Anolis sagrei: one gene and its partners. The protein of the gene in region 3 interacts with the protein of the main gene of each other region in a pairwise test. Links are inferred from orthologs where the notes say so. Each region holds a gene or a part of one and is shown on either strand. Other genes may lie near its edges.

The links.
Region 1: the proteins of KHDRBS3 (region 3) and INPP5D interact in binary tests that used the Homo sapiens proteins (3 or more experiments, as listed by UniProt). The two-hybrid records come from large-scale screens. The link is inferred for Anolis sagrei from reciprocal best matches to the Homo sapiens genes KHDRBS3 and INPP5D.
Region 2: the proteins of KHDRBS3 (region 3) and PSMF1 interact in a two-hybrid assay, tested with the Homo sapiens proteins (2 studies listed by BioGRID and IntAct). The link is inferred for Anolis sagrei from reciprocal best matches to the Homo sapiens genes KHDRBS3 and PSMF1.
Region 4: the proteins of KHDRBS3 (region 3) and BAHD1 interact in binary tests that used the Homo sapiens proteins (3 or more experiments, as listed by UniProt). The two-hybrid records come from large-scale screens. The link is inferred for Anolis sagrei from reciprocal best matches to the Homo sapiens genes KHDRBS3 and BAHD1.

Annotation. Positions count from the first base shown.
Region 1 is NC_090023.1:221,345,582-221,353,131, forward strand, and holds the start of INPP5D (phosphatidylinositol 3,4,5-trisphosphate 5-phosphatase 1), read right to left. Parts: upstream 3,017-7,550; 5' UTR 2,845-3,016; coding exon 2,711-2,844; intron 1-2,710. UniProt on the Homo sapiens protein: Phosphatidylinositol (PtdIns) phosphatase that specifically hydrolyzes the 5-phosphate of phosphatidylinositol-3,4,5-trisphosphate (PtdIns(3,4,5)P3) to produce PtdIns(3,4)P2, thereby negatively regulating the PI3K (phosphoinositide 3-kinase) pathways.
Region 2 is NC_090024.1:241,203,603-241,211,545, forward strand, and holds the start of PSMF1 (proteasome inhibitor PI31 subunit), read left to right. Parts: upstream 1-4,938; 5' UTR 4,939-5,155; coding exon 5,156-5,284; intron 5,285-7,907; coding exon 7,908-7,943. UniProt on the Homo sapiens protein: Plays an important role in control of proteasome function. Inhibits the hydrolysis of protein and peptide substrates by the 20S proteasome. Also inhibits the activation of the proteasome by the proteasome regulatory proteins PA700 and PA28.
Region 3 is NC_090024.1:14,032,301-14,039,919, forward strand, and holds the start of KHDRBS3 (KH domain-containing, RNA-binding, signal transduction-associated protein 3), read right to left. Parts: upstream 3,006-7,619; 5' UTR 2,784-3,005; coding exon 2,693-2,783; intron 1-2,692. UniProt on the Homo sapiens protein: RNA-binding protein that plays a role in the regulation of alternative splicing and influences mRNA splice site selection and exon inclusion. Binds preferentially to the 5'-[AU]UAAA-3' motif in vitro.
Region 4 is NC_090021.1:289,983,392-289,990,358, forward strand, and holds the start of BAHD1 (bromo adjacent homology domain-containing 1 protein), read right to left. Parts: upstream 3,017-6,967; 5' UTR 2,978-3,016; coding exon 2,968-2,977; intron 1-2,967.

The DNA of each region.
Region 1 (7,550 bases), on a different chromosome or scaffold from region 3:
CCACTTTTGTTTGGAAACCGCCCTAAGTCCCCTAGGGGAGATAGGCTGGGTTATAAATAAAGTTATTATTATTATTATTATTATTATTATTTTCTGGAAATTGTGGGTTTTTAAAAAGATTTATGTATTTATTCATATAGACATACATGCGTATTTGTTGCATACAGTGCAATATTTTCCAGCTATTAGTGTTCCATAATAATTTCTCAAATAATATATTTTATTTAAGGAGTCACAGTCTTCTATTTAAATAGTACATATAAAGGTATCATAGACTCTAAATTAATATCCGCTTCCTCCTTGTCTGCAGTCTTATAGGATCCCCATGTACATTTTTAGTTTAATTTTACATTGAGATGTTGAATCATTGGCTGCCATTCATTAACAAAGTTCTCTAATAGTGCTTCTCTTAAGAATACAGTTATTTTATCCATTATCCATGTATTTTCCCCATTCTTGTGAGGTATCTCTGACATTTTTCAATATCCAGCATATACTATTCGAGCTGCCGCTGTCATGTAAAACAATTTTTTCCTGAATTTCCTTTCTAGTTCTTCATTAGGCATGTTCAAAAGGTACATTTGTGGGGTCATTTTGACCCAAATAACTGGATTGACTTATCTACATGTTAGTGCAAGTACTGTCACTTATATAAAGAAGGAACCATCCCATTTTCTGAATAGAGTGGCAAAAGGCATAAGCTTAGTCCATCTTCAGAAAATCTAAAAGAAACACTAAAAGAAAATCTAAAAGAAATCACCACTACTTTCTCCACCTTAATCCCACTTCTGGTCTTTTTGAATGCCTGGGTGGAAAAACGGCAGAAGCCAAGGATGGAGAGCCTGAGCTGCTGCTGCTGCTGGCACTTTCTCCTCTCCGCTTGACTTATCCTCAGCTCGGATCATATGTGAATCTATCGTTTGGCCCCCAAAACCTGCTCTTTGCTAGGTCAACTTATACAAGAGTGATTGTTGACTGTCATATGTGGGTATATTTTGGTTAGAACTAAGAACTGGATCCAGGCTTCATTCAGAAATTTAGTTAATCAATTTTTAACTGGATTTCACTACTAAAACCCCACATCTTTGACCTTGGAGGGTCCTGCCCATACACTCCACCCTTGGGAGTTCCCTTCAGCTCTTCTTAGTTAAAACTAGTTCACATGCCTGAGTCTCTGAGGTCCCTTCCACACAGATGTATAAAATCCACATTGAACTGGATTATATGGCAGTGTGCACTCAGATAATCCAGTCCAAAGCAAATATTATGGATTATCTGCCATGATATTCTGGATTATATGTCTGTATAGAAGGGCCCTGACTCTTTGGAGTCTACAAAGTTGATTTCTCACAGGAAATATGGGACTGAGCTTGGAAAATTTGCATTTTTGGATTATACTTTGGATGTCCCAGTAAGCATGGGAAATATGGGACTGAGCTTGGAAAATTTACATTTTTGGATTATACTTTGGATGTCCCAGTAAGCATGGCCCATAAGTATGCAAGATGAGAGACACTGAGGGCTCTTCCACTGGGTTATCTGAGCCCACAATCAGATAATGTGGGATTTTCTGCCTTGATATTCTGGGATATAGGGCTGTCTGGAAAAGCCCCTAGAATATCAAGACAGAAAATCCCACATTATCTGAATGTGGATTCAGATAACCCAGTTCAAAGCGGATATTATGCGATTTTCTTCCTTGATATTCTGGGATATAGGGCTGTGTGGAAGGGGCCTAAGACAGGTTTGTCCAAATCGCAACCCGTGAGCCACATGTGTCCCAGGACGGCGGTGAATGTTGCCAAACGCAAAATCGTAGACTTACTTAAAACTTGAGATTTCTTTTGCATTTTTTGTAACTTAATTATATAGTTCTCGAGCATGAACTTGTACATAACAACAAAGTGGAATGAAATATTCAGAATATGTTAGGTCCACAAATATCTGGGTATTATCTGCAATTATCTGTGATGAGGGATATGACAGAAATTATGCACTGACTTCTTTTGTTTTATTCATCAGCTATCGTTAATGTTAATGTATTTTATGTGTGGCCCATGACAATTCTTCTTCTTCCAGTATGGCCCAGGGAAGTCAAAAGACTGGATATACCCCTGCTCTAAGTGATACAGTCCAAACAAGGAAAATTATCAAACTCCAGTAAAGGGGTATTTCTGAAGTAAAGCATATTTGTGTGACCTTTCATATATTCCCAGTAGTACATTATAACAGCACCTCAAGTAAAATTAAGGCCATTCCTGAGGATTATTCAGAAAATCAGCATGTTTTAATAAAACCTCTTCTGATATAGCAAACATATATGCATAAAGAAAGCTGGTGAGTTCCAAGCCTCAATGATTCAGCAAAGAGATGGGTGCATTATTATTATTATTATTATTATTATTATTAATAATGTTTTACAAGGTGATATCTCATGACATTGTTGGAGAACTTACTTTGTAAAACTTCCATCCCCTTTTGTGCTTGCTAATGACTAGCTACTCTTTTCAAGTGACTTTTTCTGTAATGTCTATCATGTCTCCAGGTTCATGTACTGCTTTTACCGAACTTAACTGCTCCTCGATGGGATCACCTACTGTGTCGAGAAAGAGTGGATAGCATTGTAATATGTGTGGCTTGCACTCCCTGTGGAGCTGAAATAGCACCAGAGATGAAGCTGAGTACAGTAGAAGATAAGAGGCATACTTACAGCAGGCAGAGGGCATATGCTGAAGAGATGGACTCACTGGCCCGCACAAGGAAGCTCCCATCCTTTCCCACTTTAGAGAGGAGGTCTTCAGCTCTTGAACGTGTGATGGTCCCATGGTACCAGCACTGATCCATGCCTCATAGGCAAAACACTCTGCCTCCCCAATGCAAGCAACTTTTAATTTATGATAACAATAATCAGCCAGCCAGCAATTATGTTGAGATCTCAGAGCTGTCTGTGTGTAGTGTTCAGCAGCTGCCGCTCACTCAGCTTCCTGTTTTAATGGTGCAGAGAGGAGAGAGAGAGAGAGGAAACAGAGCTGAGAACTTCCTTATAGAAGCAACTCCAAATGAGAAAGACATGCCACGCTCACACTTCACCTCCAAATTCGCTCTTTCTGGATAGTTGCAGTGTCCACATTAATTGTGTTTGTACAAATTCAATGGATAGAGTTCATAGCCAGTGGACTGTCCCCAAATTAATCTGCCCCTAGGCAAATACAGAGTTCTTTATCTCCTTCCCCAGTCCTACACTTTCTCTCTCTGCCTTTCTCTGTTTTATCCAAGACTTGGTTGTTAAAGCCTGAGGGTAGGACACAGTCAGATAAATATTTATGAGCTGCGCTGTGAGCCTTTTTGGCTGAAGAGAATGGTATAAGTGCTCTAAACAAACAAACAAATGAATACTTTAGTGCAGCATTGTACTAAATAATGGATACTGTATAACATTGTTAAAGTTGTGGGAGAGCTGCTCGCATTTATATGTACTTACAGGGAAATTGTGGCTAATAATATTTTGCTTCTGCCCAAATACATTATAATTGGGTCTTGACATATAGGTCAAGTTTAAACTTTGATAGAAGTTCCACATTGTTTTGCTTCCATGATAGTTATGAATTAATTCAGCGAGGGGTGTAAAATCAATAGTCACAAGTGGGAGATAAAGGTGGAATAGGCAAGGTTAAGAACACTAAGAAAATAATATTTGATATGTATTTTGAAATGGTGATGGATTGTGATATTATTCTACCTGTGTCTGCAATAAAAACATATTGGGGGGAAAAGCAATTAATTCAGGTAGTAAGTAATTTGATATATGTATCAGAGGCAAATGTGATGGGGAAAAAAGGAAAGTGAAAGATAGGAGTGGAGGTATTCAATTAGTCTCGTGTTGCCCAGCCATGCCCTTGGACCTCCATTTGTGATCTTTTATTGCATTTACACAGTGGCGGGTGACTACAATGCACTTCACATTTTGCAGAGGTTATTTTGGCCGGAATCTGGAATACATGGGGATCAGCTGCAGCACATTTTTTGGCTGACCTCAGGCTTTCCTGGGACATTCAAAGAAGTGCTGCATGATCCTTGATGTGCATTACAGTGTGCATTGGCGGTGTGCATTTTGTGGCCACCATGGCCTCAAGTCAGCTTCAAACTGCATTATAGTGTCAGTGCAGTGTGCTCTCAGACTGAGTGCTTGAAAGCTTTAATCTTGATCTGAATTCACCATCTAGCTAACACTTTCCCTCCAGCCTTCTTTCTTCAAGGAGGCTGGGGAAAACAGCGGCAGTACCTTTATCCCAGTAGCTCCTGCTTCAAAATGGAGGGTGGCCAAAAAACATCCCCTGAAAATGTGGGAGCAATTGCTACAAAGGACAAAAAATGCGAGATTTTCAGTTGCGGGAATATCCCAGTTCTGGCTGGAAAATGCAGATATTTGAATACAGGATTTTTTTTCTGTTGCTTTGTTCCTGGGTTATACATGTCGGTTTCTGACTGGTTGTATCTTAAAACATGGCAACAGTTGACTAGAAGGTGAAAACGTTATCCTAGAAAGAGAAACTTTGTCTTCCACACGTTTAATTAAGTTTGTGAAACACAAACAAAGGTTTTCCCGTGCATTTGCAATCAACTTTTCTCGTGTTTTTATGATAAAAGCAATGAGGAACAGACATGTATAACCCAGGAACATGACCCTGTTCTTCCATGCCACAAGTACACCACAAAACCTGTCTGCACAGATGGCCAGGCAGCCTCTGAAAAGTGGTAATAATGACTAAGTTCTGTTCCTGGCTTGAAAGTGTGTGTTCCTGTTTGATTGTATAGTACTTCCTTCAAAAGTAATGATCCTACTCCATAAACTTTGTTTGTGTGCCAGAAACTTCATTAAACATGTGGTTGGCAAAGTATTTCTTGTCAAAACAAAGTTGTCACCCTGTAGTCAATATTGTACATCTTTTCACAATAACAGCAATGAGGAACAGACATGTATGTCCCAAGAACAGCACCCTGTAGTTTCCAGGCACAAGTACACGGCCAAACTTGTCTGCACAGATGGCTACACAGCCTCTATAAGCCAGGAATGGAACTTATACAATGATTCGCATATTCACAAATTTGCATATTCACATCTTAGGGGCTGCAAAATCCCAGAACAAAGCAGCAAGTGTGGATGACGGAAACAGAAATCCCAGGACCAACAGGTCTGTATGTAGACCACTTCTCATGTCCTGGGGTTTTTTGCCTTGACTAAAACCCGCAATTTGGTGCTGTCTGGAAGCACCCTGAGTTGTATACTGAAATGTCAGGTTTGTAGCTTGAACAAGGTGGAACAAATTATATCATGGGCTTCGGCTGTTGACCTCTATCTATATTGTGGAATATGATGGCGTTGGGTCCTTCCACACAGCCAAACAGCCTGCTATTTCTAAAACTACTGTTCCATCAGTGGTTGCACTTATACCTGGCAGATCCCTGGGGTGATAAAGAGCAAATGTACAGTATCTTCTAGCACATTGGTGGGAGAGAGACCCACCAAATGATGTTGGACTATATCTTTACTATGTCAGAATATTATCCAGCTGATAGGGGATGATCGTTGTTTGAGTAAAACAGCATCTGGAGAGCCAAAAATTCCCCATATTAATTTTAGGATTTTTTCTCTTTGCACAGGTCCCTGTTCCCAACTATATCTATAAGGCTGTGGCCAAGACCAGATGCTTGAGAGATGTGGTATTATAATGTGCAGTCTCCAAGTTCCTATACTATTTTTGGTGAGCAGGTCGACAGGTCATTATAATTTGCATAACTGTAAAATCTGTGGTTTCCTGTGTGCCATGGATAGGAACTGTACAAAAGCTTGTGTCCCAAGTGTTTCAAACTGTGGTTCTGCAGCACAGAGCTACAATAAGCTGTAGCAAAACTGTTGTGCAGATATGCAGTGACAATGGAAAGTGGCCTCAAAATTATCTTGCATAGTGATAGTGGCCATGATCAGTGATGTAAGTGATAACAAATGGTCGTAATGAAAGGGCAGTGATGAACTAACAAGTCTATTTTTGTGAAAGTCATTTGCTGGCTACGTTTATTTCAATTCAGTGATGTAAAAGAGATGCTTCAAACTCATTCTATGATATATAGCTCTCGTTCAGTCAGGTTATGGTGTCTTTAAAGGGGTGCTACTGCTGTGCATTTTAAAATATTATGCATTTTTAAATGTATTCAAGTCAGTCCAAGCTATTCCAACAGCCGTTCTTTCAACACCGGAAAGTCTAGTCTATCCAGTACACAATATTGGCATGCACACAAATAGTTCACCCTTTGGCAATTGAGAATGGACTAACTCCGCCTGTTTTCCAGAACACCATGTAACAAAATTTGAAAAAATTTCTGTTCCTGGTTTGAAAGTATTATTTCCCGTTTAATTGTGCGCTGCTTATTTTGAAAGTAGCTGTTCAACTCCAGAAATTTCATTTTTGTGGCTGCCACAAACTATGTTGAATTGGTTGAGACTCAAGGAGATATTTATTGAAAACCTATAGCAAATTGTACTGCAGGATATCCACCCCCCCAAAAAAACGAACATTTTTGTAGTTTAATTAACTGTTCCCGTGTTTTTATGATAAAACCAATTAGAAAATGACATTTATAACCTAGGAACAAAAATGGTGTTACACAGTGTAATGTTTTCAAGCACGTGCTCATGTCATTCAAGTTACATACCAGAACTGTGTGCATGTAAAAGTTAGCTCATAAATGCACACACGTATGTGGAAAATTTTGTACCTATGACTATTTCAATGCATTTTATGCATATCTCCTATTAATTTTCATTCTTTTTTTGCAGTTTTCTCCTAGCCTAATTTTGTATATTATTTCTCCCAGGATTTTGTGTGGAATTGAAAAAAAATTGTATACATTACCTTGTATGCTTCCTCTTGGGATCTGCAAGCAAATTTCTCTGATTTTCACAATTGTGTTTGCTAGTTATTTCTATTTATGTAAGCATTGTGCAAGCATTGCTTTGAACATGGAACTGCATCACAACTTTTGAAGAAATGTGAAAACTGAACAGTCATTGTGTGCTATTTCATGGATTATTTCAAGAAATGCAAATTAGGCCACTTCATGCTAGAATGTGAATCAGACACATTTTTTCTCCATTTCTCCTCCCTTAATGGTCCTACGAATAAATGGTGAATGTCTTTTTATGGCCTATGGCACTTTTGACATGTTTTCAGATGTAAAAATCCCTTCCATTCTATTTCCTCATGAATCTGCAGCGCTGTTTAAAAATCTCCCAAATGCGAACTATTTAAATACATAACTAAATAGAATTTAATTAGGTATGCAAAGGCTACTTCCCTTTAAAAATACGCATTTTGTACTTGGTTAATAGCTGACTCTGTTCCACCTGACAACTTAGTGCCTGGGGTGTCCTCACTGGAGGAACTGTGGCTGACAGCTGGTTGTCAACTTTAGTACAGCTGGCAGTGATGGAAACTAACCATCTCCACTTGCTGCTTCACAAATGGCAGAATGAAACAGAGCAGATGGTGTTC
Region 2 (7,943 bases), about 230 Mb from region 3:
TAGAAAGGTTGAGAACCACTGCTGTAGAACTTAGAAAACTATTATTTGATTTAAGTCGTTGGCGTGCTGGCTGATATCCGAACAGGGGATGAGCTGGAGATGTCTCTGCCTTGGTCCTTTCACTATTGGCTGCTACTTCCCGGCGGATGTCAGGTGGTGCAATACCGGCTAAGCAGTGTAATTTCTCCAGTGGTGTAGGGCGCAGACACCCCGTGATAATGCGGCATGTCTCATTAAGAACCACATCTACTGTTTTAGCGTGGTGAGATGTGTTCCACACTGGGCATGCGTACTCAGCAGCAGAGTAGCATAGTGCAAGGGCAGATGTCTTCACTGTGTCTGGTTGTGATCCCCAGGTTATGCTGTGAGCTTTCACATGATATTGTTTCCAACACCCACTTTTTGCTTGATATTCAGGCCGTGCTTTGTGTAGGTCAGAGAATGGTCCAGGGTAACTCCCAGGTATTTGGATGTGCTGCAATGCTCCAGTGGGATTCCTTCCCAGGTAATCCTCAGAGCTCTGTAAAAATGGGGAAAATGGTTTTCCTCTTTCAGCCAACCCTCCACCCCCATAAAATGGACTATTCTTCTCTCTTAGCGCCCACTTGTGGCCTCCCTCCCGATAATAATACAGTACGCATTTTACTTTTAATAAACCTCTCCCCAGCATCTCTCTTTCTCTTTGCCTTTTATTATTATTATTACATTTTACTGAACCAACCATTCTATTGCAGTTTATTAACCATGGCATTTTACTTAACAACCATATCGTTATTAACAACCTTATTATTAACCTTGGCATTTTATTTACCTTTTGTTGTTGTTGTGTTTTGCATTGGATGAACTTTTCCACTTGGTTTTTATTTTGTATATTACTAACCTTGGCATTTTATTTACCTTTTGTTCTTGTTGTTTTGTTTTACATTGGATGAACCTTTGCACTTTGTTTTTATTTTGCATATTATTAATCTTAGCATTTAATTACCATTTGTTGTTGTTGTGTTTTGCATTGGATGAACCTTTGCATTTTGTTTTATTGTGTATATTATTAACCTTGGCATTTTATTTACCTTTTGTTGTTGTGTTTTGCATTGGATGAACCTTTGTACTTTGTTTTTATTTTGCATATTATTAACCTTGGCATTTTATTTACCTTTTGTTGTTGTTGTTGTTGTTGTGTTTTGCATTGGATGAATCTTTGCACTTTTTATTTTGCATATTATTAACCTTGGCATTTTATTTACCCTTTGTTGTTGTTGTTGTTGTTTTTGTTGTTGTGTTTTGCATTGGATGAACCTTTGTACTTTGTTTTTATTTTGCATATTATTAACCTTGGCATTTTATTTACCTTTTGTTGTTGTTGTTGTTGTTGTGTTTTGCATTGGATGAATCTTTGCACTTTTTTATTTTGCATATTATTAACCTTGGCATTTTATTTACCCTTTGTTGTTGTTGTTGTTGTTGTTGTTGTGTTTTGCATTGGATGAACCTTTGTACTTTGTTTTTATTTTGCATATTATTAACCTTGGCATTTTATTTACCTTTTGTTGTTGTTGTTGTGTTTGGCATTGGATGAATCTTTGCACTTTTTTTATTTTGCATATTATTAACCTTGGCATTTTATTTACCCTTTGTTGTTGTTGTTGTTGTTGTTGTTGTTGTTGTGTTTTGCATTGGATGAACCTTTGTACTTTGTTTTTATTTTGCATATTATTAACCTTGGCATTTTATTTACCTTTTGTTGTTGTTGTTGTTGTGTTTTGCATTGGATGAATCTTTGCACTTTTTTATTTTGCATATTATTAACCTTGGCATTTTATTTACCCTTTGTTGTTGTTGTTGTTGTTGTTGTTGTTGTGTTTTGCATTGGATGAACCTTTGTACTTTGTTTTTATTTTGCATATTATTAACCTTGGCATTTTATTTACCCTTTGTTGTTGTTGTTGTTGTTGTTGTTGTTGTGTTTTGCATTGGATGAACCTTTGTACTTTGTTTTTATTTTGCATATTATTAACCTTGGCATTTTATTTACCTTTTGTTGTTGTTGTTGTTGTGTTTTGCATTGGATGAATCTTTGCACTTTTTTTATTTTGCATATTATTAACCTTGGCATTTTATTTACCCTTTGTTGTTGTTGTTGTTGTTGTTGTTGTTGTGTTTTGCATTGGATGAACCTTTGTACTTTGTTTTTATTTTGCATATTATTAACCTTGGCATTTTATTTACCCTTTGTTGTTGTTGCTGTTGTTGTTGTGTTTTGCATTGGATGAACCTTTGCACTTTGTTTTATTTTGTGTATTATTAACCTTGGCATTTTGTTTACCTTTTGCTGTTGTTGTGTTTTGCGTTGGATGAACCTTTGCACTTTGTTTTATTTTGCATATTATTAATCTTGGCATTTTATTTACCTTTTGTTGTTGTTGTGTTTTGGATTTCATGAACCTTTGCACTTTGTTTTTATTTTGTATTTTATTAACTTTGGCATTTTATTTACCTTTTGTTGTTGTGTTTTGCATTTGGTGAACCTTTGCACTTTGTTTTATTTTGCATACTATTAACCTTGGCATTTTATTTACCTTTTCATGAAATGCAAAACACAACAAAAGGTAAATAAAATGCCAAGGTTAATAGTATGCAAAATAAAACAAAGTGCAAAGGTTCATCAAATGCAAAACACAACAACAACAACAACAACAACAGGTAAATAATAACCTTGGTATTTGGATTTCATGAACCTTTGCACTTTGTTTTTATTTTGTATTTTATTAACCATGGCATTTTATTTAGTAAGCACTCCTTTTTTGCATTTTACTTAAAACCTATTATTGCATGTAATAGACCTTTGCATTTTGTTTTGCTTTTATTTTGCATTTTATTAACCATGGCATTTTATTTTGCAAGCACTCTTTTTTTTGCATTGCATTTTACTTAAAACCTATTTTTACATTTGATTGACCTTTTCATTTTGTTTTGCTTTGCTTTTATTTTGCATTTTATTAACCATAGCATTTTATTTAGTAAGCACTCCTTTTTTGCATTGCATTTTACTTAAAACCTATTTTTGCATGTGATGGACCTTTGCATTTTGTTTCCTTCCTCCTGCTGCTTTTATTTTGCATTTTATTAACCATGGCATTTTATTTAGTAAGCACTCTTATTTTTTGCATTGCATTTTACTTAAAACCTATTTTTACATTTGATTGACCTTTTCATTTTGTTTTGCTTTGCTTTTATTTTGCATTGTATTAACCACGGCATTTTATTTAGCAAGCACACTTTTTTTTTGCATTGCATTTTATTTAAAAACCTATTTTTGCATGTGATGAACCTTTGCATTTTGTTTTGTTTTGCTTTTATTTTGCATCTTATTAATCATAGCATTGCATTTTGCATTGCCTTTTACTTAAAACCTATTTTTGCATGTGATGGACCTTTGCATTTTGTTTTGTTTTGCTTTTATTTTGCATTTTATTAACCATAGCATTGTATTTTTCATTGCATTTTACTTAAAAACCTATTTTTGCATGTAATGGACCTTTGCATTTTGTTTTGTTTTGCTTTTATTTTGCGTTTTATTAACCATAGCATTGCATTTTGCATTGCCTTTTACTTAAAACCTATTTTTGCATGTGATGGACCTTTGCATTTTGTTTTGTTTTGCTTTTATTTTGCATTTTATTAACCATAGCATTGTATTTTTCATTGCATTTTACTTAAAAACCTATTTTTGCATGTAATGGACCTTTGCATTTTGTTTTGTTTTGCTTTTATTTTGCGTTTTATTAACCATAGCATTGCATTTTGCATTGCCTTTTACTTAAAACCTATTTTTGCATGTGATGGACCTTTGCATTTTGTTTTGTTTTGCTTTTATTTTGCATTTTATTAACCATAGCATTGTATTTTTCATTGCATTTTACTTAAAAACCTATTTTTGCATGTAATGGACCTTTGCATTTTGTTTTGTTTTGCTTTTATTTTGCGTTTTATTAACCATAGCATTGCATTTTGCATTGCCTTTTACTTAAAACCTATTTTTGCATGTGATGGACCTTTGCATTTTGTTTTGTTTTGCTTTTATTTTGCATTTTATTAACCATAGCATTGTATTTTTCATTGCATTTTACTTAAAAACCTATTTTTGCATGTAATGGACCTTTGCATTTTGTTTTGTTTTGCTTTTATTTTGCGTTTTATTAACCATAGCATTGCATTTTGCATTGCCTTTTACTTAAAACCTATTTTTGCATGTGATGGACCTTTGCATTTTGTTTTGTTTTGCTTTTATTTTGCATTTTATTAACCATAGCATTGTATTTTTCATTGCATTTTACTTAAAAACCTATTTTTGCATGTAATGGACCTTTGCATTTTGTTTTGTTTTGCTTTTATTTTGCGTTTTATTAACCATAGCATTGCATTTTGCATTGCCTTTTACTTAAAACCTATTTTTGCATGTGATGGACCTTTGCATTTTGTTTTGTTTTGCTTTTATTTTGCATTTTATTAACCATAGCATTGTATTTTTCATTGCATTTTACTTAAAAACCTATTTTTGCATGTAATGGACCTTTGCATTTTGTTTTGTTTTGCTTTTATTTTGCGTTTTATTAACCATAGCATTGCATTTTGCATTGCCTTTTACTTAAAACCTATTTTTGCATGTGATGGACCTTTGCATTTTGTTTTGCTTTGCTTTTATTTTGCATTATATTAATCATAGCCTTTTATTTTGCAACCCCCCCCCCTTTTTTTTTTGCATTGCATTTTACTTAAAAACCTATTTTTGCATTTGATGGACCTTTGCATTTTGTTTTGTTTTATGTGGATTTTGCATTTGCTTGACCAGTGAAATGCAATCCTCCCGGAACCAAAGTGCTGGGCTGTTTGTTTCCTTGCACAAGGGGGTGGGCCTCCCTGGGAAGCCCTATTTGCACGTGACTGTTTCCTCTCCCCTTCCTGGGCTACTTTCACTTTCAGGCACCATCGCAGCAGCTTGCATTGCAAGCAGCCCATCCTTCCCTCCTTTGCTGCTGTTGCATTCCTTCCTCCTGCTGCATTGTTTTCACCCTTTTGCACGCTTTGCCTGCTGACGCGTGTCTTATCCTTTCCCACGTGACGCGTGTCAGGCGGCTGGGGCGGCGGCAGCAGCGCGATGGCCGGCCTGGAGCTGCTCTTCTCCTCGGTGTCGCCGGACCTTTCCTGCCCGCAGGACGCCTTGGTCTGCTACTTGCACTGGAAGCTCATCAGCCATGGCTACCGCTGCCTGGGGACAGGAGACCAGGTGAGAATTTGGGGGGGGGGGGGGGGACACTCCAAATTCTCCTTGCAAAGCACCTCCAAAAAGTGGAGTGCACCCCACCCACGCCCAGAAGCAACCCAACAGAAGGAAAGCATGCATGTAAACAGAGCATCCCTTGACCAGAATGCTTAAGACAAAGAGTAGAGTGCCATGACTCACTGTTATGCATTGTTATGTTTGATTGTTTATGTTTTGCTTCATTGCAAAGTTGTTTTAATTGTTTACTAGCCATCCCCTGCCACACATTGCTGTGGCCCAGTCTGTGTATATGTGTTTTGCGTACATATATGTGTTTTGTGCATATATACAAATATATAATGTATTTTTTACTTTTTGGCTTTTTAAGTCCCTTCTGCTGTGTTTTTCAGTGTTTTTAATGAGTAATGGTCACTCATTGGCCTGAGAGGTGCCTTGTGTCCAAATTTGGTGTCAGTTTGCCCAGTGGTTTTTGAGTTAGGTGAGTCCCACAAACGAACACTACATTAGGTTCTTGTGGGTTTTTCCGGGCTATATGGCCATGTTCTAGAGGCATTTTCTCCTGACGTTTCGCCTGCATCTATGGCAAGCATCCTCAGAGGTAGTGAGGATGCTTGCCATAGATGCAGGCAAAACATCAGGAGAAAACGCCTCTGGAACATGGCCATATAGCCCGGAAAAACCTACAACAACCCAGTGATTCCAGCCATGAAAGCCTTCGACAGAACATTACATTTTTATTTTTATAGACTAGAAATCCCAAAAGTCAATGTCTGTTTCCCCCAAATTCCATCTGTGTTCATATTTGGGTATATGGAGTATTTCTGCCAAGTTTGGTCCAGATCCATCATTGTTTGAGTCCACAGTGCTCTCTGGATGTAGGTGAACTGCAACTCCCAAACTCAAGGTCAATGACCACCAAACCCTTTTAGTGTTTTCTGTTGGTCATGGGAGTTCTGTGTGCCAGGTTTGGCTCAATTCCATCATTGGTGGAGTTCAGAATACGCTTTGATTGTAGGTGAACTATAAATCACTGCAACAACAACTCCCAAATGTCAAGGTGTATTTTCCCCAAACTCCACCAGTGTTCACATTTGGGCATATTGAGTATTCGTGTAGAGTTTGGTCCAGATCTATCATTGTTTGAGTGCTCTCTGGATGTAGGTGAACTACAACTCCCAAACTCAAGGTCAATGCCCACCAAGCCTTTCTAGTGTTTTCTGTTGGTCATGGGAGCCCTGTGTTCCACGTTTGGTTCAATTCCATCTTTGGTGGGGTTCAGAATGCTCTTTGATTGAAGGTGAACTATAAATCCCAGCAACTATAACTCCCAAATGACAAAATCAATTTTTTTGAGTGATGGGCACTCGCTGACCTAGTAGGTGTATTGTGTCCAAATTTGGTGTCAGTTCGTCCATTGGTTTTTGAGTTATGTTAACCCCACAAATGAACATTACATTTTTATTTAGATAGATTTATTTATTGATATTTATGGTATCAGGAGCTAACCAATGTCTTTGAAAAAACACAAAGTTTAAAAAACTGGGCATCATACTGAATGGCCACTTGGAGTGCCTCTGGTGTCGCGTTGAGAAGGTCCTCCATTGTGCATGTGGCAGGGCTCAGGCTGCATTGTAATAGGTGGTCTGTGATTTGCTCTCCTCCACACTCGCATGTCGGAGACTCCACTTTGTGCCCCATTTCTTGATATTGGCTCTGCATCTCGTGGTGCCAGAGCGCAGTCTATTCAGCGCCTTCCAAGTCGCCCAGTCTTCTGTGTGCCCATTCAGCGCCTTCCAAGTCGCCTAGTTTTTGGTGTGCCCAGGGGAGAGTCTCTCATTTGGTATCAGCCATTCATTGAGGTTCTGGGTTTGAGCCTGCCACTTTTGGACTCTTGCTTGCTGAGGTGTTCCTGCAAGTGTCTCTCTAGATCTTAGAAAACTATTTATTGATTTAAGGTGTTGGCTGATATCCAAACAGACGATGGGGCTGAAGACGTCACTGCCTTGGCTTTCGTTATTGGCTGATACATCCCGGTGGATGTCAGGTGGTGCAATACTGGCTAAACATTGTAATTTCTCCAGTGGTGTGGGGTGCAGACACCCCATGATAATGTGGCTTGTCTCATTCAGAGCCACATGATGAGATGTGTTCCACTCTCGGAAGCAGAGTAGCAAAGCGCAAGGGCAGATGTCTTCACCGTGTCTGGTTGTGGTCCCCAGGTTGTGCCAGTCAGCTTTCATATTATATGTATGGTTGGGGACGTGAGAGAAGCCTCCCCACAGGGTTACAACACATTCAGGCATCCCCTGGACAACTGCTGACACTGGGCATGCGTACTTGACAGCAAAGTGCAAGGGCAGATGTCTTCACTGTGTCTAGTTGTGATCCCCAGGTTGTGCCAGCTTTCATATGATACGTATGGTTGGGGACGTGAGAGAAGCCTCCCCACAGGGTTACCACACATCCAGGCATCCCCTGAACAATGTCTTTGTAGATGGCTGATTCTCTCAGTTGCGATATGTATGGTGGATCTGTATTGTTTTGAAATGTTGTGATCCGCTTTGGTCCCACTTGACATGATGCAGCCCAGCAAAAGTGTCATATCTCTCTCTCTCTCATCGCCCAGCCAGGTGCCAACGAGCGGAAGTCGGAGATGTTGCCT
Region 3 (7,619 bases):
CTAACCTATGGTTATGCGCCACTTTGTTGTCTCCTTTTATGCTGACCCTAACAGATGGCTGAATAGAACGGAACGTTGCCTTTTTCTTAAGATCTAAAGAAACCTAATATTAAATATGAATTGTTTAATACCACTTTGTTTACACACCCTTTGTTTTATACCACTTTGCTTTACATACCCTACTGTTTTTGTATTGTTTTCTCTGCCTGTCTTTCTTTTTTATGCTGGCCTATAACCTTTACACAGTGTTTTTCAACATGGGGTTTGGGACCCCTGGAAGGGGGGAGGGGTGCGAGGGAATGTCAGAGGGGTTGCCAAAGACCATCAGAAAACAGTATTTTCTATTGGTCATGGGGGTTCTGTGTGGGAAGTTTGACCCAATTCTATCGTTGGTGGGGTTCAGAATGCTCTTTGATTGTGTCCAGAACTGTTTTCCCCAAACACCACCTGTGTTCACCAGTGAGATATTGACAAGCTGGAATGTGTCCAGAGGAGGGTGACTAAAATGATCAAGGGTCTGTAAAACAAGCCCTATGAGGAGCAGCTTAAGGAGCTGGGCATGTTTAGCCTGAAGAAGAGAAGGCTGAGGAGATATGATAGCCATGTATAAATACGTGAGAGGAAGCCACAGGGAGGAGGGAGCAAGCTTGTTTTCTGCTTCCCTGGAGACTAGGACGCAGAACAATGGCTTCAAATTACAAGAAAGGAGATTCTATCCGAACATGAGGAAGAACTTCCTGACTGTGAGAGCCATTCAGCAGTGGAACTCTCTGCATCGAAGTGCGGTGGAGGCTCCTCTTTGGAAGCTTTTAAACAGAGGCTGGATGGCCATCTGTCAGGGGTGATTTGAATGCAATATTCCTGATTTTTGGCAGGGGGTTGTACTGAGGTCTCTTCCAACTCTTTGATTCTAAGCCGCCCTGAGTCTCCCCTCGGGGGTTGAGAAGGGCAGGGTAAAAGTGAAATAAATAAATAAATTCTATGTTTCACATTTGGACATACTGAGTATTGTAAGTTAACTATAAATCCAAGAAACTCCCAAATGTCAAGGTCTATTTCCCCGAAACTCCACCAGTTTTCACATTTGGACATGTTGAGTATTCATGCCAGGTTTGGTCCAGATCAAACATTGTTTGAGTCCATAGTGCTCTCTGGATGTTGGTGAACTACAACTCCCAAACTGAAGGTCATTGCCCACCAAACCTTTCCAGTATTTCCTGTTAATCATGGGAGTTCTGTGTGCCAAGTATAGGTGAACTACAACTCCCAAACTCAAGGCCAATGCCCACTAAACCCTTCCAATATTTCCTGTTAGTCATGGGAGTTCTGTGTGGCAAGTACAGAAGAACTACAACTCCCAAACTCAAGGCCAATGCCCACCAAACCCTTCCAGTATTTCCTGTTAGTCATGGGAGTTCTGTGTGCCAAGTATAGGTGAACTACAACTCCCAAACTCAAGGCCAATGCCCACCAAACCCTTCCAGTATTTCCTGTTAGTCATGGGAGTTCTGTGTGTCAAGTATAGGTGAACTACAACTCTCAAACTCAAGGCCAATGCCCACCAAACCTTTCCAGTATTTCCTGTTAGTCATGGGAGTTCTGTGTGCCAAGTATAGGTGAACTACAACTCTCAAACTCAAGGCCAATGCCCACCAAACCTTCCCCGTATTTCCTGTTAGTCATGGGAGTTCTGTGTGGCAAGTTTGCTTCAATTCCAACCTTGGTGGAGTTCACAATGCTCTTTCATTGTAGGTGAACTATAAATCCTAGCAACTACTACTCTGAAATGAAAAGAATGAATCCCACCCCACCTCACCTCATCAGTATTCAAATGTGGGCATATTGGAGATTTGTGCCAAATTGGATCCAGTGAATGAAAATATATTTGATTATCTGATATTTACATTATCATAGTCATAGAACCAAGGAGTTGGAAGAGACCTCCTGGGCCATCCAGTCCAACCCCCTGCCAAGAAGCAGGAATCTTGCATTCAAATCACCATCCAGCCTCTGCTTAAAAGCTTCCAAAGAAGGAGCCTCCACCACACTCCGGGGCAGAGAGTTCCACTGTTGAACGGCTCAGTCAGGAAAGTCTTCCTTATGTTCAGATGGAATCTCCTTTCTTGTAGTTTGAAGCCACTGGGTCCTAGTCTCCAGGGAAGCAGAAAACAAGCTTGCTCCCTCCTCCTCCCTGTGGCTTCCTCTCACATATTTATACATGGCTATCATATCTCCTCTCAGCCTTCTCTTCTTCAGGCTAAACATGCCCAGCTCCTTAAGCCGCTCCTCATAGGGCTTGTTCTCCAGACCCTTGATCATTTTAGTCACCCTCCTCTGGACACATTCCAGCTTGTCAACATCTCTCTTGAATTGGGGGCCCCACAATTGGACACAATATTTCAGGTGTGGTCTAACCACAGCTCCATAACAGTAGCAAAATTACAGTTATGAAGTAGCAACGAAAATAATTTTATGGTTGGCGGTCCCCACAACATAAGGAATTGTATTAGGAAGGTTGAGAAACATTGTCCTAATAATTGACTGAATTGGGACTGAAATTTGCTTCCTTTGCTTGAGACCTACCCACTTCTAATCAACACAGGGATCCAGGAAACAAAACACAGAACCCAAAGAGGCAGAGGCAGCAGATATAGCAAGACAAAGGCGTCCCCCTCCAGGGGCTGAAACCCACCTTGGTTGACCAGCCTCAAGGCGTGGGTGAAGGAAGGGTCCAGGGAGTCCTTCTCGGCCAGCAGCTCTGGCAGGTACTTCTCTTCCTCCATGGCCTGCCCTCCGGCCTGGAAGCCTCGCACCCTCGGGTATTCGTTAATCCTCGTTGGGAGAGTGGAAATTAAAATTTCAGAGCCAAAAGGAGGAGCATAAAACCCGGGAAAACCCCTCACAAACAGTCACAAACACGCCCAAACTCTCAACAAGCAGAGAAAAAAAGGAGCACAACCTCTCTCTTCGCTTCCCCAGCCGCGACTGAGGCTGGCCACGCCGCCGCGCCTCGCTTTATATAGACTGCCGCCCTCCAGGCCACGCCCATCCTTAGAGGAACGCTCCTCCCCCTTTTTTTCCCCTCTCCGACCGTTCCAAAGAACAGGCCCCGCCCACCTTTGTGAACTATTGGGCAAAGGGAGGGAGCGCGAGGAAGTGTTTGCTCTCACCTGATTGGCTGGTCCTCGGGGCGAAGACAAAGGGAGCGGCGCGAGCGCCGGCCGTTATTTAGTACACACACAGCCTGCGCGAGACTGTCGTAGTGCGCACGCGCGCCCCCAACTGGCTTAGGCTATGCTGCTCAAGGCAGAGTGTTTATTTATCGTGCAGACCAAACAGTTGCATTGCATTTTTTTAACAAAACAAACAAACAGAACACAAAGTTTGCAAGCTTGGTAGTGGATTAAATGTCCTTTGACCAGTAGCTGGCCACTTGGAGTGCCTCTGGTGTTGCTGCAAGGAGGTCCTCCATTGTGCATGTGGCAGGGCTCAGCTTGCATTGCAGCAGGTGGTCTGTGACATTGCATTTTTTTTACAAACAAACAAAACACAAAGTTTGCAAGTTTGGTAATTGATTAAATGTCCTTTGACCAGTGTCTGGCCACTTGGAGTGCTTCTGGTGTTGCTGCAAGGAGGTCCTCCATTGTGCATGTGGCAGGGCTCAGCTTGCATTGCAGCAGGTGGTCTGTGACATTGCATTTTTTAACAAACAAACAGAACACAAAGTTTGCAAGTTTGGTAATTGATTAAATGTCCTTTGACCAGTGTCTGGCCACTTGGAGTGCTTCTGGTGTTGCTGCAAGGAGGTCCTCCATTGTGCATGTGGCAGGGCTCAGGTTGCATTGCAGCAGGTAGTCTGTGATATTGCATTTTTTAACAAACAAACAGAACACAAAGTTTGCAAGTTTGGTAATTGATTAAATGTCCTTTGACCAGTGTCTGGCCACTTGGAGTGCTTCTGGTGTTGCTGCAAGGAGGTCCTCCATTGTGCATGTGGCAGGGCTCAGCTTGCATTGCAGCAGGTGGTCTGTGACATTGCATTTTTTAACAAACAAACAGAACACAAAGTTTACAAGTTTGGTAATTGATTAAATGTCCTTTGACCAGTGTCTGGCCACTTGGAGTGCCTCTGATGTTGCTGCAAGGAGGTCCTCCATTGTGCATGTGGCAGGGCTCAGCTTGCATTGCAGCAGCTGGTCTGTGACATTGCATTTTTTTACAAACAAACAAAACACAAAGTTTGCAAGCTTCGTAGTTGATTCAATGTCCTTTGACCAGTATCTGGCCACTCGGAGTGCCTCTGGTGTTGCCGCAAGAAGGTCCTCCATTGTGCATGTGGCAGGGCTCAGGTTGCATTGCAGCAGGTGGTCAGTGGTTTGCTCTTCTCCACACTCACATGTCGAGGATTCCACTTTGTAGCCCCATTTCTTGAGGTTGGCTCTGCATCTCGTGGTGTCTGTTCAGCGCCTTCAAGTCGCCCAGTCTTCTGTGTGCCCAGGGGAGTCTCTCTCGTTTGGTATCAGCCATTGATTGAGGTTCTGGGTTTGAGCCTGCCACGTTTGGACTCTCGCTTGCTGAGGTGTTCCAGCGAGTGTCTTTGTAGATCCTAGAAAACTATGTATTGATTTAAGTCGTTAATGCCCAAACAAGGGATGGGCTGGAGATGTCTCTGCCTTGGTCCTTTCACTATTGGCTGATACCTCCCAGCGGATGTCAGGTGGTGCAATACCAGCTAAACAGTGTAATTTCTCCAGTGGTGTAGGGCGCAGACACCCTGTGATAATGCAGCATGTCTCATTAAGAGCTACATCCACTGTTTTAGTGTGGTGAGATGTGTTCCACACTGGGCATGCATACTCAGCAGCAGAGTAGCACAGCGCAAGGGCGGATGTCTTCACTGTGTCTGGTTGTGATCCCCAGGTTGTGCCAGTCAGCTTTCGTATGATAATTTTTCTAGCGCCACTTTTTGCTTGATGTTCAAGCAGTGCTTCTTGTAGGTCAGAGCACGGTCCAGAGTGACTCCCAGGTATATGGGTGTGTTGCAATGCTCCAGTGGGATTCCTTCCCAGGTCATCCTCAGAGCTTGGAATGCTTGTCTGTTCTTAAGGTGAAAAGCACATGTCTGTGTTTTAGATGGGTTGGGGGTCAGCTGGTTTTCCCTGTAATAGGCAGTAAGAGTGCCTAGCGCTTCAGAGAGCTTCTGTTCTACCATCTCAAAGTTCCCTGCTTGAGCGGTATGGCACAATCATCAGCATAGATGAAACTCTCTGTCACTTCTGTCAGTGGCTGGTCATCAAGGCAGAGTAAAGCCTCACACTTGAAACTCCTTTGTCCTGTCAGATTGTAAATTGGACTTGTTATGGCTGTGTAGAAGAAGGAAGTTCATCAGGTGTTGCTTCTTGTTAGACAACAATTAAAGGCACAACTCCAGATATTTTTTGTAATGAAAACAGTTCTTTAAAACCAGATTTCATAGAATCTGGATATCACAACAATGGGATGTTCAACTTTTTGGCTTCCTTGGACGACATGGGGAGAAGTACAATTCTGTAAAACCAGATTGCATAGAATCTGGATATCACAACACTGGGATGTTCTACTCTTTGGCTTCCTTGGACCACATGGAGAGAAGAAGAATTGCCAGCTGGGTGGCCATAGCTTAAAGATTATCCATTTTGTTGAATCTGGGATTGTACCTTGGATTGTTTTGGATTCTGGCTTTAACTTTTGACTGCTTTTTTGGACTGTTGGCTTTGTTGACCTTGGGCTAGACTTCTGCTTGGTGTTTATTGCTGACTGGACTCTGGAACTTTTTTGGTGTGACCACAGCAACATGGACTCTGAAGTTGTGCTTTATCTCGCTCTCAACAGCTTGTGTGTGTGTGTCTAAATCCATATCCATAAATATAATGTTCGTTTGTGGGAGAAACACTGAAACCACTGGTGAAATTGACACAAAATTTTGACACAATACACCTAACAGTACAACGAGTGTCCATCACCCCTAAAAACACACACACACAAGAAAAAAGCACCCAACTTAAAACCCCCAAAAATACACCATATATACATATATACTCATATACATATGAGTATATATATGCACAAGCACACACAAATATACACATATACACACATATATACATATACACATGCACATCGATACATATGCACATACTTACACACATATATACACACAAATATGCATATAGGCAAGCACACACATGTACACAATATGCATATACAGATGCAAACACACAAATACACAAATATATACACATTTACACATATATATATACATATACACATGCACACACCTACATACATACATATATACACACAAATATGCATATAGACAAGCACACATATATACACAATATGCCAATATGAATATACACATATAAACATATGAATGCATAAATATACACACACACATATATACGCAAACACACATATGTGCATAAATTTATACACACACATAAACACTTATGTACACGCACAAAACACATATACACAGACTGGGCCACAGCAACACATGTCAGGGGACGGCTTGTATATGTGTGTGTGTGTGTGTGTGTGTGTGTGTGTGTGTATATATATATATATATATATATATATATATATATATATATAAAGCATGGGCAAACTTCGGACCTCCAGGTGTTTGGACTTCAACTTCCGCATTTCCTAACAGCCAGAAGGAAAACACACAACAACCCCATTAGTAGGCTATTAGGAATTGTGGGAGTTGAAGTCCAAAACACCTGGAGGGCCAAAGTTTGCACAAGCCTGATATATATGCTAAAACTGTCAAATTATAGGTAGCCCCTGAGTTACAAACATCCAACTTACAAATGACTCATAGTTCAGAACAGAGGTGAAACACATGAAGTGAGGGAAACCTGGTTCTTGAGACAAAATGAAATACAAGCATTTTTTAAGTTACATTGTCTGCTTTGAAATGAGTTATCTGAGTCCACACTGCCATATAGCCCTGTTCAAAGCAGATAATGTAGGATTTTATACAGCTGTGCGGAAGGGGCCTGGGATTTTTTTTCTCTTCTTGTTTTTCAGAATCGAGAAATAGCCATATACAGGCAGTACCCGATTCCAAACATCCGACTTACAAACGACTCATAAGGCCCTTCCACACAGCCCTATAGCCCAGAATAATGGCGCTCCATGCAGCCGGCCACGTGACCTTGTATAGTGAGGGCCCTCTGCATTCAAAATTAAATGAAAGATAGAAGCTTGACCTGCTAGAAAAGCCCTTTGATGACAATTTGGATTGGCATGGGATACTAGGTGCCGCAGAACAGAGCTTTCCAAACATTTCATGTTTGCAACACACTTTTCAGATATGCATCATATAACAGAATAAACTGGAAGCTAAACTAATTCCTTATAAAAGATACAGACACATATATACATAATCTACTAGCTGTACCCTGCCACGCGTTACTGTGGCCTATAGTAAATCTTTTCAAAGTAGAGGTAGATATCTGGAGTATTATGAAATACTATTCCTTCCCCCTTTTTCTCCCCCTTTCTCTCCTTTCTTCCTTCTCTACCTCTTTCTTTCTTTCCTTCTTTCGCTCCTTGGTTTCATCCTTCTCTCT
Region 4 (6,967 bases), on a different chromosome or scaffold from region 3:
TAGAATGAACACAACCTCCCCAAATAAGTTTCACGTGCGTGGCTTCCTGAGCTCGGCGAGCACGTGTGAAAAGACAAGACGTGTAATTTGACACCTGGTTTTGAAAATGACAGCGCATCACCTTGTTGAATACAGCTGTCAGCCGTATTTCAACCCTCCCACTGGATGCAGGTTTGTCACCTGGAAAGAGATACGTTCCGGCCAAATTACATGGCGAGTCCTCAACACATTCTGAAATGTGCTGCCTGTGTGTTTGAAGTCTCACCTCTATTACCCAGATGGAAAGGATATTTTGGGGGGAAGCGCTTCTAGCAAGGTCGATTTTCATTCAAAGCACCCTCTCATGAAACTTGCCCTGGATGTGGAGGGGACTGGTGGAGGGGACTGGACTCTTCCCCTTCAAAACAGTAGCCATATGCAACAGGGCCGATATCTTCTGCACCAGCTGGACAGTCTCAGAGAGCAAACTTGGGCCCTCCCTCCGGGTGTTTTGGACTTCAACTCCCACCATTCCTAACAGCCTCAGGTGTCTTCCTTTCCCCCCTCCACCGCTTAAGCGGCGGAGGGGGGAAAGGAAGACACCTAAGGCTGTTAGGAATGATGGGAGTTGAAGTTCAAAACACCCAGAGGGAGGGCCCAAGTTTGCTCATACCTATCTATGTGAATCTTCATAACGATTTCTAAATACGAGCATGATTCTGTGGCTTTCTGTCATGTCAACAATTATATTGAGCCATTAACATGCCCGGAAGCCTTGTTCTCTCTACAGACAATCCACCAGGATTCGTTTCCCAGCAGGTCTTTTCCAAGAAAACACAGGAAAGAGGAATAACCTCTATGAGGAATTGTGTTTTTGAAAAAGTTTTCCAGGCTCAGACCCTCCTTTTTCTAGGGACTGTTTACAACCCCTTCCTTGCTTCCAAGAGACTACTAACCAGGAGATCGGAAAGTGTTTCTGAAGGGGGTCTTTTGTCCTTGAGGGCCCTGGGCATCTGTCTCCGTGTCTGGGTTGTACAAAAATGAGGAGGCAGCGTATTCCGAAGTGGGGAAGGGGACCAGAAAGGGGAAAGGGGTGTCTTAGGAAGGAAAGAAGGGATGGAGGAAGGTTGGAAGGAAAGAAGGAAGGAAGGTAGATAAGAAACAAAGAAGGAAGGAAAGGAGGAAGGAAGGAAGGAAGGAAGGAAGGAAGGAAGGAAGGAAGGGATGGAAGGAAGGAAAGAAGGAAGGAAGGAAGGAAGGAAGGAAAGAAGGATGGAAGGAAAGAAGGAAAGAAAGAAAGAAAGAAAGAAAGAAGGGAGGGAGGAAAGAAGGAAAGGAGGGAGGAAGGAAAGAAGGGAGGGAGGGAGGGATGGGGAAGATGGAAGGAAAGAAGGAAGGAAGGAAGGAAAGAAAAAATCAAGAAGAAAGGATGGAAGGAAAGAAGGAAGGAAATAAAGAAGGAAGGAAAGATGGGAGGAAGGGAGGAAGGAAGGAAGGAAGGAAGGAAGGAAGGAAAGAAAGAAAGAAAGAAAGAAGGGAGGAAGGAAGGAAGGGATGGGGAAGATGGAAGGAAAGAAGAAAGGAAAGAAAGCAAGAAATCAAGATGAAAGGATGGAAGGAAAGAAGGACAGATGGAAAGAAAGAATGAAAGAAAGAGAGAAGGAAGGCAGGAAGGAAGGAAAGAAGGAAGGAAGGGTGGAAAAAAGAAGGAAGAAAACATGGAAAAAAGGAAGGAAAGAAGGGAGGGCGGGAAGAAGGAAAAGGAAGGGAAGAGAAGGAAGGAAGCAGCCTGGAAGGGAAACACAAAACCACCCTTCTCTTGGGCTCCTGGCTTCTGCTTGGAGCTTTTGCCAGAGTTCTTCCTCCCACCCTGGACTTTCCACAGATATATAAAACCCAATTTTCCTAGTTTCCAACAGACCTCACAACCTCTGAAGATGCCTGCCACAGATGCAGGCGAAACATCAGGAGATAATGCTTCTGGAACATGGAAAACACACAGCAACCCAGCCATGAAAGCCTTCCACAACACTTTGCCAGTGGGTTTCTAAGGTGGGGTTTGGGAGCTGCTGCTGCTGCCAAAGTTAATGGTTTTCCTAGTCGTTACATAACTCCAGACCGAGAACTAATCCCAGGAAGGCCGAGGGGCCCTGGACATGGAAGGGGACTGGGCTCTTCCCCTTCAAAACAGGAGCCATGTGCAATGTGGGCCGTATCTTGTTTTGCACCAGATGGACAGTCTCAGGGAGGAAACTTGGGCCCTGCAGGTGTTTTGGACTTCAACTCCCACCATTCCTAACAGCCTCAGGCCCCTTCCTTTTCCCCCTCCGCCGCTTAAGCTTAAGTCCAAAACACCTAGAGGGGAGGCCCAAGTTTGCCCATACCTGATTCTCCGGCTTTCTAAGGGGCCACGGGAGACAGAGCCCGGTGGCCCACCTGCCAAGGAAAGACAGGGAAGGAAGGAGCCGCCCACGCCGCCGCCCCACGCGAGGGCCCTTCTTCAGCCCAGGGAAAAGGGGGGAGAGAAAAAGGGATGGAAGGAAAGGCAGAAGGGAGGAAAGAGAGGGATCATGGCCGACTACGACGAGGGGGAAACCCCCGACGACGCCAGGGAAAGGGAAAGGCAACCGGGAAGGAGAGGGAGGGGAGGGAAGGAGAGGGAGGGGAGGGTCCTTCTCTTTCCTCGGCGGGGACACGCGGCCAAGGAAGGAAGGAAGCCCCCACGCCTCGCTCTTCCATACCAATACCAGCCCCAGCCGGATCGAGGTGGAAAGTTCCCGAGGAGGCCACCCACCCGATGGGAGCTCGGAAGGAAGGAAAGGCGTCCCGCGAGAGCCGCGCCCCCTCCGCTCCTTCACGCGCGACATCCCCGCGCGGGTGCCTGGCTGGCTGGCTGGGTGGGTGAACCTCCCCGCCGCATGCAAGCCCACCCACCCACCCACCCTCCCTCCCGTATACATCCTCCTTGGCTAGTGGCGGCGAAGGCACCTGTTCCCATCGCTTGCCTTCCTTGATTCCTTCCCGCAACTTCCTCGACGCCCAGGGTGGAGCCCCACCGCCTGCTTACCGAGGGTGCCTGCTCCCGCTCCTCTCCTCCTCCTCCTGCTCCTCCTTCCAGGGGGCTGTGCGGGCCCCACGCAGGGCAGAGCCAGGAGGCCCCGGCCGGGCTGCAATCCGGCGGCAGGGACGCCGCGGCGGGGCGCCTGAATCCCGGGATCCACGCTGCTGCGTCAGCGCCGCCGCTGCTCCTTCTCCTCCTTCTCCTCGGCCCTCCCTCCGCGTCGTCGCCACCGGGATGGGGACTGAGGCGCGCCCCCTTCTGGGGCCCGCGCGGCGAAGGCCGGAGGGGGCGGCAGCAGAGGAGAGACACGGCTTAGACTCCGGAGGACGGATCCGGATGGCGCTCTCCTCTCCCACGATGAGCTCCCACCGACGATGACGAGGAGCAACCAAGTCCCCGAAAGCGGCGGTAGCAGCAGCAGCAGGAGCAGCAGCAGAAGCGGCGGCCCCGCGCCCCTGCTCGGCTCTTGGTCCGTCCTCCCTTCCTGCTTCCTCGTCGGCAGCCAATCAGGGGCCTCCCCACCGCCGTCCGCTCGGCCGCGCCGCCCAATCGCCGCGCGCCTGGCCCGCCCCCGCCAGCCAATCGCCGCCACAGCAGCCAGGTCCCGGCGCAGGCCAGTCGAGCCAGCCAGGAGGCATCCAGCAAGAGGAGGAGGAGGAGGAGGAGGAGGAGGAGGCATCGAGGCACGGACACCCTCCACCCGCTGCCCCGCCCCCTCCCCTCCCCTCGGGAGCCCTCCTCAATCGCCCTCTCTCCGCTTTGCATGCTGCAGGGGGAGGGGCTGCTGCTACTGCTGATGCCCCAGCCCTGAGTGCCTGCCCTCGTGCTCGCGCACCCGCCACGCGGCTCCATCACCGGCTCCCTTTCCCGCGTGGGAGGGGGAAGGAGAAGTTTCTTGCGCTCCCTCCTCCCCACCCCTTCTCCTCCTCCTCCACCACGATCCCCTCCCTTTGTTGTATCCCCCGCTCCCCCGGATCCAGGTCCACTCTTGCATCTCTCTACACCAGGCTAACATGGGCCCTCCAGGTGTTTTGGACTTCAACTCCCACCATTCCTAACAGCCTCAGGCCTCGCAATCTCTGAGGATGCTTGCCACGGATGCAGGCGAAACGTCAGGAGAGAATGCTTCTAGAACATGGCCATACGTTGAAATCCACAAGCATGTGGACAATTTCAACAGAAAGGAAGAGACCATGAAAATGAACAAAATCTGGCTACCAGTATTTTAAAAAACCCTCTAAAATTACGACAGCAAAACAACAGAGAGGAAACAACCAGGCACATCTTTTCCCCGGCTCAGCCAGGACTTCAAATGCTAATGAAGGTGGTCAGTTGAAATATTCACACCTAGCTCCAGCAGGGAAGAGCTCTTTGCCCCACCCCAGCCATTCCACAGATATATCAACCCACTGTCCTAATTCCAACAGACCTCACTACCTCTGAGGATGCTTGCCATAGATGCAGGCGAAACGTCAGGAGAAATGCCTCTAGAATATGGCCCTATAGCCCGAAAAAAACCACAAGAACCTGGCCATACATTGTCGAAGGCTTTCATGGCTGGAAACACTGGGTTGTTGTAGGGTTTTCGGGCTGTATGGCCATGTTCTAGAAGCATTCCCGCCTGATGTTTCGCCTGCATCTATGGCAAGCATCCTCAAAGGTTGTGAGGTCTGTTGGAACTAGGAAAATTGGGGAAAGGAAGGGGCCTGAGGCTGTTAGGAATGGTAGGAGTTGAAGTCCAAAACACCTAGAGGGAGGGCCCAAGTTTGCCCATGCCTGTTCTCAGGCCCGTAGCCAGGATTTCGATTTGGGGGGGGGGCTGAGTCTGAGTGAAACTGGGTCTGTCCTAGCAAACCTTTTGTATCATTACCCCAATACCCCCATGCATATGGGATATATTGAGTAAGGTGATCAGATCATGATATGAATAAACATAACAGTTTAAATAATGCACCAGTAAGGCCTTTTCGCGAACCACCATGAAAATTTCAGGAGGGGCTGAAGCCCCTCAAGCCCCCCCCCCCCCCCCGCTACATGCCTGCCTGTTCTCTAGCTTTCTGAGGGGCCACCGGGGAAACAGAGCCCGGTGGCCCACCTGCCACTCAAAGACAGGGAGGGAAGGAGCCGCCCACAGGTAGATCCCTTTTCAGGCTGTGGAAGGTCCAGGGTGGGATAATGAACTCTTCTCTTCCCCCAGGCAGGAAGCAGCCAAGTTTTGAAGCTGCAAGGCTATTCAATGCTAATCAAGGTAGCCAATTGCAACATTCACACCAAGCTCCAACAGACAAGAGTTCTTTCTCCCACTCTGGACATTCCATAGATATATAAACCCCATTTTCCTAGTTTCCAACAGACCTCACATCCTCTGAGGATGTTTGCCATAGATGCAGGCGAAATGTCAAGAGAGAATGCTTCTAGAACATGGCCATACAGCCCAAAAAACACACAACAACCCAGCTTCGGGCCCTTTCCTTTTCCCCTTAGCTGCTCAGCTGGCCCTGATTTTTTCTTGTCTGGCTACCAGTATTTTTTTTTTAAAAAAAATTCAAATCAGGACAGTAAATAAAGAGACACATTCAAATACAGGGGAATTCCAGACAAGAAACCATCAGGGCCAGCTAATCACTTCCCAACAAATGATTTTTAATGATTGTTTGAATAATAATAATAAATAATAATAAACTTTATTGATAACCCGCCACCATTTCCCCAGTGGGGACTCAGGGCGGCTAACATGAGGCCAAGCCCAAAATAATACAACATAATTGATTGCACAATAACAAAAATACATCAACAAAATATGAAATAACAAAATCAACATTATAAAACAGCATAATAAAATCAGATACAAAGGGAGGGCCAAATGTATGAGGTAAAATATGAACAGGTTAAAACCCTGAGTGAGATAGGGATAAAAGGGATAAGAGAGGAGTCCAACAGGGAGAAGTAGTGGGATTTGGCCTTTGTAGGAGGCATGGGAAGGTGTTTTATTCTGAGGGCAGCTACAGTTCAAAATAACCAGATGGGATTGAGTGGTCACTCTCCAAAGGCACATCGGAAGAACCAGGTTTTTAGATCTTTCTTAAAAGCAGCTAGGGTGGGGGCTTGCCTAATCTCCCTAGGTAGCGAGTTCCAAAAGTGGGGGGCCACAGCAGAGAAGGCCCTCTCCCTCGTTCCCACAAGTCGAGCTTGTGATAGAGGAAAGGGCAAGAGAAAGGCCTCCTCAGAGGATTGAAGAGGTTGTGCAGGTTTGTTGTAGGAGATGCGGACACAAATTTTAATGAAATTTATTATTGTGGTTAGCACTCAAATGAGTACTTGTTGAGTCCCTCCTCGGGGGTGAGAAGGACTGGATACAAATGTTCAAAAATCAATAAATTCCCCCAGGCAGGAAGCAGTCAGGCTTTGAAGCTGTCAGGCTATTCAGTGCAAATCAATGTGATCAATTGCAATGTTTAGACTTGCCTCAAACAGACAAGAGTTCTGGGTTGCTGTGAGTTTTCAGGGCTGTATGGCCATGTTCCATAAGCATTCCCTCCTGACATTTCACCCACATCTATGGCAGGCATCCTCAGAGATTGTGAGGCTTGTTGGAAACTAGGCAAGTGGAGTTTGTATATCTATAGAATGCCCAGAGTGGGAGAAAGAGTGGGAGTCTGCTGTGGGAGTCTGCTGTGCTGCTGTAAGGGGCAATAAAGATCTCCAGCCTGCTCCCAGGACTCCTTGTGAGTAGCCAGCAGCCCAGGCCTCCTCCAGTGGGGTCTGACTCACCATCTCACCATCTGAGACGCCTGTCATCGCGTCTTCCATCTCCACTGTCATCGCGTCTTCCATCTCCACTCCTGGAAGGACTAGCATTGACCATCCCACCATCTTAACTTGCTGCCATCCGACTGTCCATCTCCATTTCCAGTTAAGACTGGTGAT